Linked DNA regions of Sus scrofa. The protein of the gene in region 3 interacts with the protein of the main gene of each other region in a biochemical or structural test. Links are inferred from orthologs where the notes say so. Each region holds a gene or a part of one and is shown on either strand. Other genes may lie near its edges.

Region 1 (3,652 bases), on a different chromosome or scaffold from region 3:
TTCAGTCTCTGGCCTGGGAACTTCCACAGGCCAAGGGTACAGCCATTAAAAAAAAAAAAAAAAAGCGGTTCCTGTTGTGGCTCAGCAGAAAAGAATCTGACTAGTATCCATGAGGATGCAGGTTCCATCCCTGGCCTTGCTCAGTGTGTTAAGGATTTAGTGTTGCCGTGAGCTGTGGTGTAGGTCAGAGATGCAGCTTGGATCTGGTGTTTCTGTGGCTGTGTTGTAGGCCAGCAGCTATTGCTCCGATTCAACCCCTAGCCTGGGAACTTCCATATGCTGCAGGTGAGGCCTTAAAAAGACAAAAACAAAACAAAATAAAAAGGACCCCCCCAAAAAAGAAAGAAAAGCTTCGTATACCACTCCCTTCTTATGTGATTTCCAGCCCTTGCTGCTCTCTTATTTCCTGCCTCCTTTAATAGCAGTGCTCTGGGTCTGAGGAGTGCCCAGGACTGCCACACTTTGTTCTGTTTGCTCTGAGGATGGTAATTGTCGAATAAAGGAATAAGAAGCCCCTGCTTTTGGTTTCCACAGCTGAAGAAGATTTTTGCTTTGTGAGCTCTAGCATGCCTGTGGTTCATTAGAATAGTGACCAAAGTTCCTCGCTGTTTTCCAATGCCTCTCCATTCATTTGTGTACCTGATTGAGGAGGAACTTGAGTGTAGAACCTTGACTGACCCACTGTCCCCATCCCCATTTGCTCTGGTTCATATTCTCAGTGTATGAACTCTTGCTTTCCTGTGGCTGGATTCTATTTTTCATCTCACTGCCATCTCACTGAGGTTTGGTCCCTGCCCTAGGATTAGCATGGCCTATCTGTCTGCAGGGCAGGAACAGTGTGGAGTAGATGACTCTGGGGGTCCCATCAGACACTGGGAAGGTGGTGACCTGTTCTTATGGACTCCTTCTGGAAGAATCATGTCTGCTTGACTCAGAGTTCCCACTTGTTTTTTTGCAGTTTGTTAGTTTTCAGTGGCTTTATGTTTCTGAAGGAATGAATTTTCCTTATGTGTCTGATAAAATTCAAAACATATTTAGTTTATAATCCTGATTGTTCTCTTAACAGCTTTTTTCAAGCTGAGAGTGGTATCTTGTCTTTCCCTCTACTTATGTGTTCCAAGCACACTCACACAGTTCACGGGCTTGGTGGTGTTTCTCCATGTTTTGGGGATTTTTTGTTTCTGTTTTTGGATTCCCCCCCCTCCCCCAGCTGTGCTTGTGGCATGTGGAAGTTCCCTGGTCAGGAATTGAACCTGCACCACAGGAATGACTCAAGCCACTGCAGTGACAATACAGGATCCTTAACCTATATGCCACAAAGGAACTCCTGGTTCTTCCTATTAAGTTAAACATTTGTGGGACTAGGGCAGTCAGTTTCTCTGCTCCAGATAACTTTGTTGGGTGATTTGATTGACAGAGTTTGAGTGGGTATGAGCTCTGTGCTGAGCTTCTTGTACAGCATAGAGTGTATGAGGCATTGGAAACTGCTCTCCTCTTCCTCAGATTGGTACTTAGCTGGGAGCAGGAATAATCTTCCAATTTAGGCTCTTCAAAGAAAGAGTATAGGCGCCAAATTCCTTAGCTGAGAATGCTGGGAATGGGGGGTTCATAAATAGCAGAGTGTCAGAGCCATGCAAAGTCAGGCACCAGGGCAACAAGTGGCCTGGCTCATTTATGTAGCGCAAGCTCAAGGCTTCTTAGTTAGGCGAGGCTTAGTCTCTAACCAGTCAGGTGCTGGGAATCATTGTCTTTGTGTCTGAATTGAATTCTTGTTGCATTTATAAGCAATTATAGATGTAATTTCTCTTTTACTTTTTATAGGATATGGAACTTGGAACTCTGGGACAAACAGAGGCAAGTATCATTCCCATAATCACTCTCCTTTTCCTTGGGATTAAACTGATTGAGTGTTTCTGCCACTGCCCAGCCTAGTTAAAGTTGCAGGGTGGGGGTTGTCTTTGGGGGTCCTGGGTGCACTGGGGCCAGCAATTCCTTCACAGGAGGCCTTTTCAGAATGGCGATGGCCCACCCAGCTTGTCTCTGACCAAAAATGTCCTGTCTCTTGTGTTTGTTTCTCTGTCTCCTCGCCCCCTCCATCTTGTCTGTCTCTCTTTCTGTCCCCCTCATTGCAGGCTACGAGAACTATGGTTATGGCTATGGCTATGGCCAGGATAACACCACCAACTATGGGTATGGTATGGCCACTTCAAACTCTTGGGAAATGCCTAGCTCTGACACAAATGCAAACCCTAGTGCCATGGGTAGTGCCAGTGCCGATTCCGTTTTGTCCAGAATTAACCAGCGCTTAGATATGGTTCCGCACTTGGAGACAGATGTGATACAAGGAGGCGTGTACAGCTCAGGTGGAGAAAGGTGAGTGGGCATCTACCTGCCTAGGGGTTGAGGCTCTGCCGGGTCACCTCCTGTCTCTTGTTCCCTGGTGTCTTCCTCTTCTGAACTATCTCTTGTGTCTACTTTTTTCTTTGCTCTGCTGCTGGGGTTTCCCAGAGACTGCTTGGGGTCCAAGGCACTTCCCTTCTCTGGCCTGTGTCCTCTTCTCCCTCCATTCTCCTGCATTGCCCAGTGGTGAGCCTCTCCTCCAGCTTATAGAGGGAGAAACAAGCCCAGACTGGGCTGGTTTCACTGAATCCTCCCATTTCACTCTTCTCAGGAACATTGTTAAATGGCTCCTCCCTCTGGAGACAACCATTTGAAGCTCTCGAGATACTTTGCATCCTGCCTTCTGTCAGGGCAGGACAGATTGGGTTGAGTGTAAAGGTTGGAGTGAACCTTTGGGGCTGACCATAGTGAGCTGGACCATCCCATATAAGGGTACCCTTTGGTGACTTATAAATGTGTACTTGTTGAACATCAGAAGTGTTCCTGTGAGGAACTGTTGATGTCCTCACTATGCAGATGGGGAAAGTAAAGTGTGGGCAGGTCACACCTCTTGCCCAAAGGTACCCAGGAGTAAATAGTGGAGATGGGCCTCCCACTCAGATCTGCCCTGCCCCACAGCATCATGCTGTAGGCATTTGTCATTGTCCAAACTGCTGCTGGCCCAGGCGTTCTTGTGCCCTAGTGAGAGGTTTCAGTGAAGAGGGCATCTCTTGGCACAGCCATGAGGGGAGCAACCTCATGGCTCCAACTGACAGGGAAGAGCAGAGAGTAAGGAGGGACCTGGCCAGGCACTGGTGGGGCCAAGTGAGGCCCCAGGACCACTAGGGGGCAAAGAGTGCCAAGGGGACTTTTGCGTGCATGGGCTCTGTAGCAAGCAAAAAGTGTTGAGGAGTGGGACGTGCCTACCCAGCCTACCCCTTGCCCTTAGGGTCTTCAAGCTGGTGTGTGGCCTCATGCAGGCTTGGGGACACTGGCCGAGAGCCCTTTCTGGCTTCTAGAACTCTGTTCCTCAGAGACCTTTTAATTTGCATATCTGAACATTGATCCTTTCTGACAGGATGGGTGTTGGAGTGGGTCTTCCTATCCCCAGGACAACGAGGTTTAGGGGAAGGCAGAGGCAGTAATAGGATGATGGGACCTGAGATCGTCCCTGATGCTTGCCACCTGCCTCTGCAGATATGATTCCTACGAGGCCTGTGACTCAAGGGCTGTCCTGAGCGAGCGTGATCTGTACCGGTCAGGCTATGACTAC
Region 2 (3,652 bases), on a different chromosome or scaffold from region 3:
GTTTCATTTTTTCTGCATAGATCACCCCCTTTGTGTATTTTTGCCATACGTTGAAAATTCTGAATTGGGTCCTTTGTGCTGCTCAGATTATCTGCTCTTAATACCCAAATGGGGTTTGCTTATGAAATCCAACGTGATGTTAACATAAGTCTAAACAAAACGTAATAGATGAGTTAGCTCCAGAAAAAAAAAAAAATCACTGGCAGTTCACAGACTACTACAAATGACTTTTAAATCACCTAATGTTTGGAATAATTTGTCATTGCTTTTTCTTTTCTCTCACTTTTTTTTTTTTTTTTTTTTTGGTCTTTTTTGTCTTTTTAGGGCCACACCTGAAGCATATGGAGGTTTCTAAGCTAGGGGTCTAATCAGAGCTACAGCCGCTGGCCTACGCCAAAGCCACAGCAACACGGGATCTGAGCCGCATCTGCGACCTGCACCACAGCTCACAGGAACTCAGATCCTTAACACACTGAGCGAGGCCAGGGATCAAACCTGCAACCTCATGGTCCCTAGTCGGATTCATTTCCACTGCGCCACGACGGGAACTCCTGCTTTTTCTTTTATTGCTGAGAGTGAGATCAGCTGTGCTTTTTCTGTGTTCACTTTTTCCTTTTGAGTATTCCTGGCTTCCATTCTAAAACTCAGAGTATGTGAACCATGGCAGCCGTTTGAAGGAAATGCAGGTAGTTGTCTCCTGTTGGTAGAGATGTTTTTTTGTTGTTATCAAAGATGTATACTGACCCAGGTATGTTCTCTGTTTCTTTAACCAGGAAGGTAGAGCGTGAAGTGAAAGCTTTGGCAACGCTTAAACATCCAAATATTGTTCTCTACTACGGTTGCTGGGATGGGAATGATTATGATCCTGAGCAAAGCATGAATACTTTAAGGTAACTAAAAAGAGATGCCCATAACTATAATAGGATGGAAGAAACTGTCCTTTACTGTTTGTGGGTCACCACATATGGCCATTAATTCTTACATTTAACAATCACAACTAGAAACATCCTTTGAGGCACTATTTTGACTTGATCTGCAGTTAAGCAGACTCTTCATTGCCTGCTTAATAATCTTTTCCTTGCTCATCTCGTTGCTCCAAGCTTCCTTTAAAAAAAAAAAGTTTTTCAGTTGTCCTCAGCTGTTTTCAGAAATCTCAGGTTTAGCTTTCCTACTCCCTTGTTTAAGGTGAGGGCTTGCTCATGTGCCTGACTTCAGTCACTGCCAGCCATAAAAGCAGACATGGCCATAAATACAGACTCCTGAAGGTTTGAATGTGCTGTTCATGCTATACATGCTGCAATTGGAGGCTCCCTCTTCTGCTGTTGTCCCCTTCACTTGATTGGCGGGGTGCAGCCAGGGGTCTCTTTTTTTTTTTTTTCTTTTTCTTCTTTTTATGGCCATACCTGCAGCATATGGAAGTTCCCAGGTAAGGAGCCTCAGCTGCCAGCCATAGCATCACCTGATCAGAGCCACATCTGCTACTTATGCGTAGTAGCTTGGGGGCAGTGCTGGTTCTTAACTCGCTGAGTGAGGCCAGCGGCTATGTCATGTTCTTAACCTGCTGAGCTGCAATAGGAAGACATCCCAGGGGGTGTCTTTCAAATGCAGCTGCACCACTTATAGTGGGGTGGTGAGGAGTGAAAAGAATTGGGGACCTTGAGCTGTGATGGGGGGCACCCCACCTTGCAATACTCCTGTTTTGTCTGAGGTGAGTCAATGCAAAAGAGCTAAAGGGTTTTAAAGAGCTGGCACCTCCCTGTGAAGGTCACCAGCGTTTCCAGGGGACAGTCCTTTCAGTGCAGTCCTGAGGCCACTCTGGGCCTGTTCATTCACAGGCTCCTGACTCCAGCCCTGTCTCCACCCCATGTAATTGAGACCTTTATCATTGGTTTCAGGAGTGCTGTCAGCATACAGACTTCTTCAGCTTTTGGCAAATTACTGGCTCCCTCTTTTCTATATTCTAGTCAATATATGCTCAAAGAAGTTAAATTAATATTGAGGCCAGCTTAGTTCAGAGGAAAAAAAAAAAAAACTGCATGATTAGCAAAGTCAGTCCTCTCTGTTATATCTCATGGCAATCTGTTGGCACTTCTGTTAGGATTCCTATGCTTGAACTGTTATTTTAGGTTTATTTTTCCTTTATCTGTCTCCTGTCATCCTCATGACAGCAAGAATAGTGTCTAATTCATTTCTTATCTTGAGGTGCCTGTTCTGTGCCTTTCACAAAAGAGATGTTCAGTAGACCAATGGTGAATTAAAATGTTTTGAAATTACTGTATATAATAATGAAATTTGGTTTTCTGCAGTTCCATTGTATTTATGCTCCTATTCCTATCTATTAGCAAAGATAATCATGGTCCTTCAGCTTTAAAGAATGGGCTTAGCTAAAGAAATCTTTGGATGTCTGGGAACTTACGATTTAAACAAAGAATGGCTTATTATGTTTTGATTCAAATCTATTATTGTTAGATTTCTGTTTTGAGACCTGTTTGGTATTTTTAAGAAGATAAAGTTCCTAACATTTTTTTTTCTGTCTTTTTATGGCTGCTCCCGAGACATATGGAAGTCCCCAGGCTACGGGTAGAATCAGAGCTGCAGCTGTCCGCCTACGCCATAGCCACAGCAATACCAGATCCACGCCTTGTTTATGACCTGCTCCACAGCTCATGGCAGCACCGGATCCTTAATCCACGGAGCAGAGCCAGGGATCGAACCCACATCCTCATGGATACTAGTCAGGTTCGTTTCCGCTGAGCCACAATGGGATCTCCAACAATTTTTTTTTTTTTTTTTTTTTTTTTTTTTTTTTTTTGTGCCTCACTCACAGTATGTGGAAGTTCCAGGGATTGAACTTCCAGGCCAGGAATTGAACCTTTGCCACAGTAGCAACCCAAGCTGCTTCAGTGGCAGTGCTGGATCCTTAACGTACTGTACCACAAGAGAACGCCTAAAAATGTATTTTTAAGTGTATTTTTTATATATTTATTTTTATTGCTAAATCTAACATCCTGTGAACTATATACCCAGATCAAAGACAAGGTGCCTTTTCATCCAAATGGAATACTGTGATAAAGGGACATTGGAACAATGGATTGACAGCCAAAGAAACAAGGAACCAGATAAATGTTTGGCTTTGGAATTCTTTGAACAAATAACAACAGGAGTGCATTATATACATTCAAAACAGTTAATTCATAGAGACCTTAAGGTAAGCGGAAAATGTCCTTTGTTAGGAATTGATAATTAATTTAAAAGTCTGTTTTGGAATTGATTGGCAGTCATGAGAAAATAACATCTCTGATCCTCTGAGGTTGGAATAGATCTAGAACTTGCCGCAAATACCAGTCTGTAGAACCACTCAGAAGGTCTCCAGGGCTAGTAAACTTTTTGGGACAGTGAGCTCTATAGAAAGAAGCTCATTCACTTCTAGTCCTATTTTTTGTACTGGCTGATAGTTACACCCTAGTTGTAAACACTTATAGCTTTAATATACTAAATATTTCCGTACAGATAATTACTGTGGCTGGCACAGCCTGTTGGCTGCTCTGTCCCTGCCTCTACTGCTACTCAGGTTCGTCTGAGCAGCACAAGCGACTCCAGTGACGGGGGCTTTGGGAACATGGTTCTCCAAGTTTTCAGTCTTTACTCTTGA
Region 3 (3,652 bases):
GCATCAAGTTCTGTAGGGAGATATTTCTTTGTGAGCAGAAACAGTTATGAACATCCCTTTAACCTAAGCAAAGATGAAACATTTCTTTATAGATTAAGGTTTGGATACTGCACTGAAGTTGTCATCAATTGTCAAGCCAACTGCCAGCGCCACGCCTGTGGCCAACAATTCTCTTCACTAAAAAAACCAAATTCAAGAACACCTAACATGAAAAAGGTACTAGAATTAAATCCTATTGGGTGTAAAGCTGAGTACAGTCCATGAGAAGTCTATAATCACAGAAATAAGTATAACAGTGGCCTAAGTAGGTAGATGCTATAAGTCTGATAACATCCGTTGATAATTTTCAGAAAGAAATGAAATTTGGAGAATAAAAGTCTCAAAGCAGATGAGCACAAGAGTCAAAATTCAAATTCAGGTTCTTCGTTGGCTCCGATGCTCTTATTTTCTACTATACTACAGTGCTTCCATAAGTGATCAGAAAACATAAACAGATGTTCTAAGAGATGTACATAAGACACTGGGTATCATAAGTAATTCATATTCTGATCCATAAAATACTGGTTACGAGAGAACACCTGTCTTTTCTCCATTTCCCCCCCCCAAATAAGATTCACATTATCTCTTTCTTCATTTATGTTGCTCATTTTATATTCTGACCATACCATGTACATTAAGCAACATTGAAAACCTTATTATCATAGCCCTGTGGACTGTATCCTCTTCTTGACTCATTTGTTAAGTGTTATTTGTCAGGATAAGACAGATGATATAACTGGTAAGTATTAGGCAGGTCTGTATTTGCAGGTACCTCTAAGTGTGTGCTCCGCTTCAATCACAGCATCCAAAGGTGGAGGTTCAATTGCCTTGGCCAGAAACTGGCCAATTCCTCCCAGACGCAGAAGTTTTATGCTCAAAGCAATTTCATGCAATGGTGTTCGGAACATCTCTGGTGTCATGTGGGTCTCGAGTCTAAGAAAAAGTTGAAAAAAAAAAAGAGAAAAAGAAAAAAAGTTAAGTGTAAAACAACCATCTTCTCTTGTGTACACTCAAATTTTGTAGAGATGATCAGGGATATGAAATTGCCCCTCCCTTATCCTTTTAAATCACCAAAGAACATTGCATATTTCCTACAAAGGCTCTCTAGACAAGACCTTAACTGAGTAGTGGCTTATGACTTCACTTACAGCTTGAGGTATTTTCAGCTGAGAAATGAAGGAGGATGAAAAATTACCCCAAATCCCTCATGTTATTACCCCCATCTAGGGCTTCTTCAGGTCCTGCCTCCTGACAAACTTGAGTTAAAAATGGTAGCAAGACCTTTTATGGGAGATACAAGCTCATACTAACATTTCCCTGTAACCTCTTCCCCCACTTCCTCATTCAGGTAAATTTAGTACCACTGCAAAGATCTTACACATTATCTAACCCTTTAAAATATTAACAATGAAAACTATTAATATAAATTAACAATGATAATAGCTAATGTTTACTGAGAGCTTAATACGTGCCAAGCTTTTTTCTCAGCATTTTATATAACTGACTCCATTCTCAAACAAACCCCATGTGGTTAGAATTTCACTATCTTCCTTTCTCAAAAGAGGAAAGAGATTTTTTTTTTTTGTAGAATAGGGAAACAAAGGCTTAAAGAGTGTAAATGTTTATGGTTATGTGATACAGTTGGCACAAATATTAAAATCCAAGTCTCAGGATGATTCTGCATGTATTATTTACATAACGAAGGTTCATGGGAGCCATTTAGAGGTGGATTCCAACACTGCTAGCAAGACTTAGATTAGCTTAAATCAAGTTTATAAAAACACAGATAGGCATTATCTATTCGTCATCCTATGGAGAAAAGAACAAAAATCCCTTACAGATCTATTCATGGTGTTGCTAGTTGGTAGGTGGTTTTACATTAAGATGTTAAGAGTACAGAACTTGTTTCTTCAAAGGACAATTCAACCTTTAAAAAGAATCAGGTATCTTCCAAATGTTACAGCCAGTCTCCTGCCTTAACTTAGGACACTCAAATAAACCTACATTTACAATTAATTACTAGAGAGCCATATGTTATCAGTATAAAAACAAATCAAACCAGCTTTGATTTTTCCTCAGTGTATTATATACATCTGGCCACCTAAATTAGTCTCTCTCTCTCTCTCAAATACACCCTAACACTATCTCTATAACCAACTGGTTAAAACTTAAGTATACGACATGGGTTTCAAGAAACATATAACTAAATATATACCTTAAATCTGTAATTCAGAAAGTTAAGGATTTTTTAAACTAATTGGTCTCATCCAAAAACTTCCCCCCAAAGGCTCTGTGGAGATGGACAAGGTATTAACAGGCTTGGGTTTCAGTCCTGGATTAGTGGCTAAGCTCCTTAAGCTTTGCTTTCCTTACCTAAATAATGCCCTCTGTTTCTCAGACACATGAGGATCATGTGAGAGGTGATGTGCTAACAGTGGGTGTGGGGGTGTGGTATAATTCTATAAATACAAAAGTACTGTTATTTTAATGTATCTTTCAGATGGTTAACCAATTCATAAGTATCAGTAATCCCAAAGTGGTAAAGCTATGTGGTGCCAGAATTATGCCCATATATCCTTTCCCCCCCTTTTTAACGGGGAAAACATGTATCATGCTTTTAAAAGGTTATTAGTAAATAGTTAACTAGTATCAAACATGCCACCATTGATAATTTCTTATTTCTTTACATTCTCAACACAATCTTGCTAAGTGATTGGAGAAAGCTAAGTTTCCTCCAATTCACTTAAGTTCAGGAAGTTTATGGCAGGGCAAAGGAGTGTGAGGAAGGGAGGTTTGTTTGTAAAAGGTTAAAAAAAAAAAAAATTCACTCTTTATTCCAGAATTGCTCGTACCTGTCAAAACGAGCTCGGCTGCAGAGGTGAAAGCAGAACCCAGGCCGTACACGACCAGCTCGTCCTTTCCGCTGCTCAAGGTTTGTTTTGGATGCCCACACTGTAGCATAATTGGTCATGTTGTTGTGAGCAGTGAACAGCTTCACTTTTTGCCTAATTAGGAAAGAGTGGTTAATTGTAAAACTCACATACACTATCAACACATAACTACCATATTTCCACTACGTGAAAGACTAAGACCTACAAAGCGTGCCACTTACCAGCTAGATGACCTCAACCAAGTTACTCATGTTTCTGTGCCTCATTTTCCTCATCTGAAAGTGTGTATAATAACTACTACCTACACCTCATAGTGTATTTATAATCATTAAGTGAATTAATGACTGTATAGCATTTAAACAGAATCTGGCACAGACACCTAAGCATGTGGTAATTACTCAAGCCAACTCTATTCCAGAATTTAGCTTAACTCTCAGGGAATCTATGAAGCTAAACGAGAATATGTGGCACTTCAGATGACGTCACCAAATCGTGAAGGCGTGGTTCTTCTACCCCGCTAAGCAACCCCAAAATCTGTGTTACACACAGGCAGCTGGCACCAAACGACTGGGATTGGCACAGAAAGAGCTGTGTGCTATTCACTATTCCCTAAAGTAGGCACGGGCAAAGATTTTTCAATTGCCAGGACAAGCTTAGGCACTATACAGAGAAGACACGGGGCATAAGGTGGCGAGATAGAACCAAGTTTTGACATTTTTGTC

Evidence for each region.
Region 1: the proteins of DHX9 (region 3) and AKAP8L form a complex in vitro, tested with the Homo sapiens proteins (2 studies listed by BioGRID). The link is inferred for Sus scrofa from reciprocal best matches to the Homo sapiens genes DHX9 and AKAP8L.
Region 2: the proteins of DHX9 (region 3) and EIF2AK2 form a complex in vitro, tested with the Homo sapiens proteins (2 studies listed by BioGRID, with this or other methods). The link is inferred for Sus scrofa from reciprocal best matches to the Homo sapiens genes DHX9 and EIF2AK2.

What each region holds. Positions count from the first base shown.
Region 1 is NC_010444.4:62,194,628-62,198,279, forward strand, and holds part of AKAP8L (A-kinase anchor protein 8-like), read left to right. Parts: intron 1-1,821; coding exon 1,822-1,854; intron 1,855-2,132; coding exon 2,133-2,373; intron 2,374-3,576; coding exon 3,577-3,652. UniProt on the Homo sapiens protein: Could play a role in constitutive transport element (CTE)-mediated gene expression by association with DHX9. Increases CTE-dependent nuclear unspliced mRNA export.
Region 2 is NC_010445.4:103,071,927-103,075,578, forward strand, and holds part of EIF2AK2 (interferon-induced, double-stranded RNA-activated protein kinase), read left to right. Parts: intron 1-773; coding exon 774-890; intron 891-3,027; coding exon 3,028-3,208; intron 3,209-3,652.
Region 3 is NC_010451.4:124,172,892-124,176,543, reverse strand, and holds part of DHX9 (ATP-dependent RNA helicase A), read right to left. Parts: intron 3,045-3,652; coding exon 2,892-3,044; intron 973-2,891; coding exon 812-972; intron 11-811; coding exon 1-10. UniProt on the Homo sapiens protein: Multifunctional ATP-dependent nucleic acid helicase that unwinds DNA and RNA in a 3' to 5' direction and that plays important roles in many processes, such as DNA replication, transcriptional activation, post-transcriptional RNA regulation, mRNA translation and RNA-mediated gene silencing.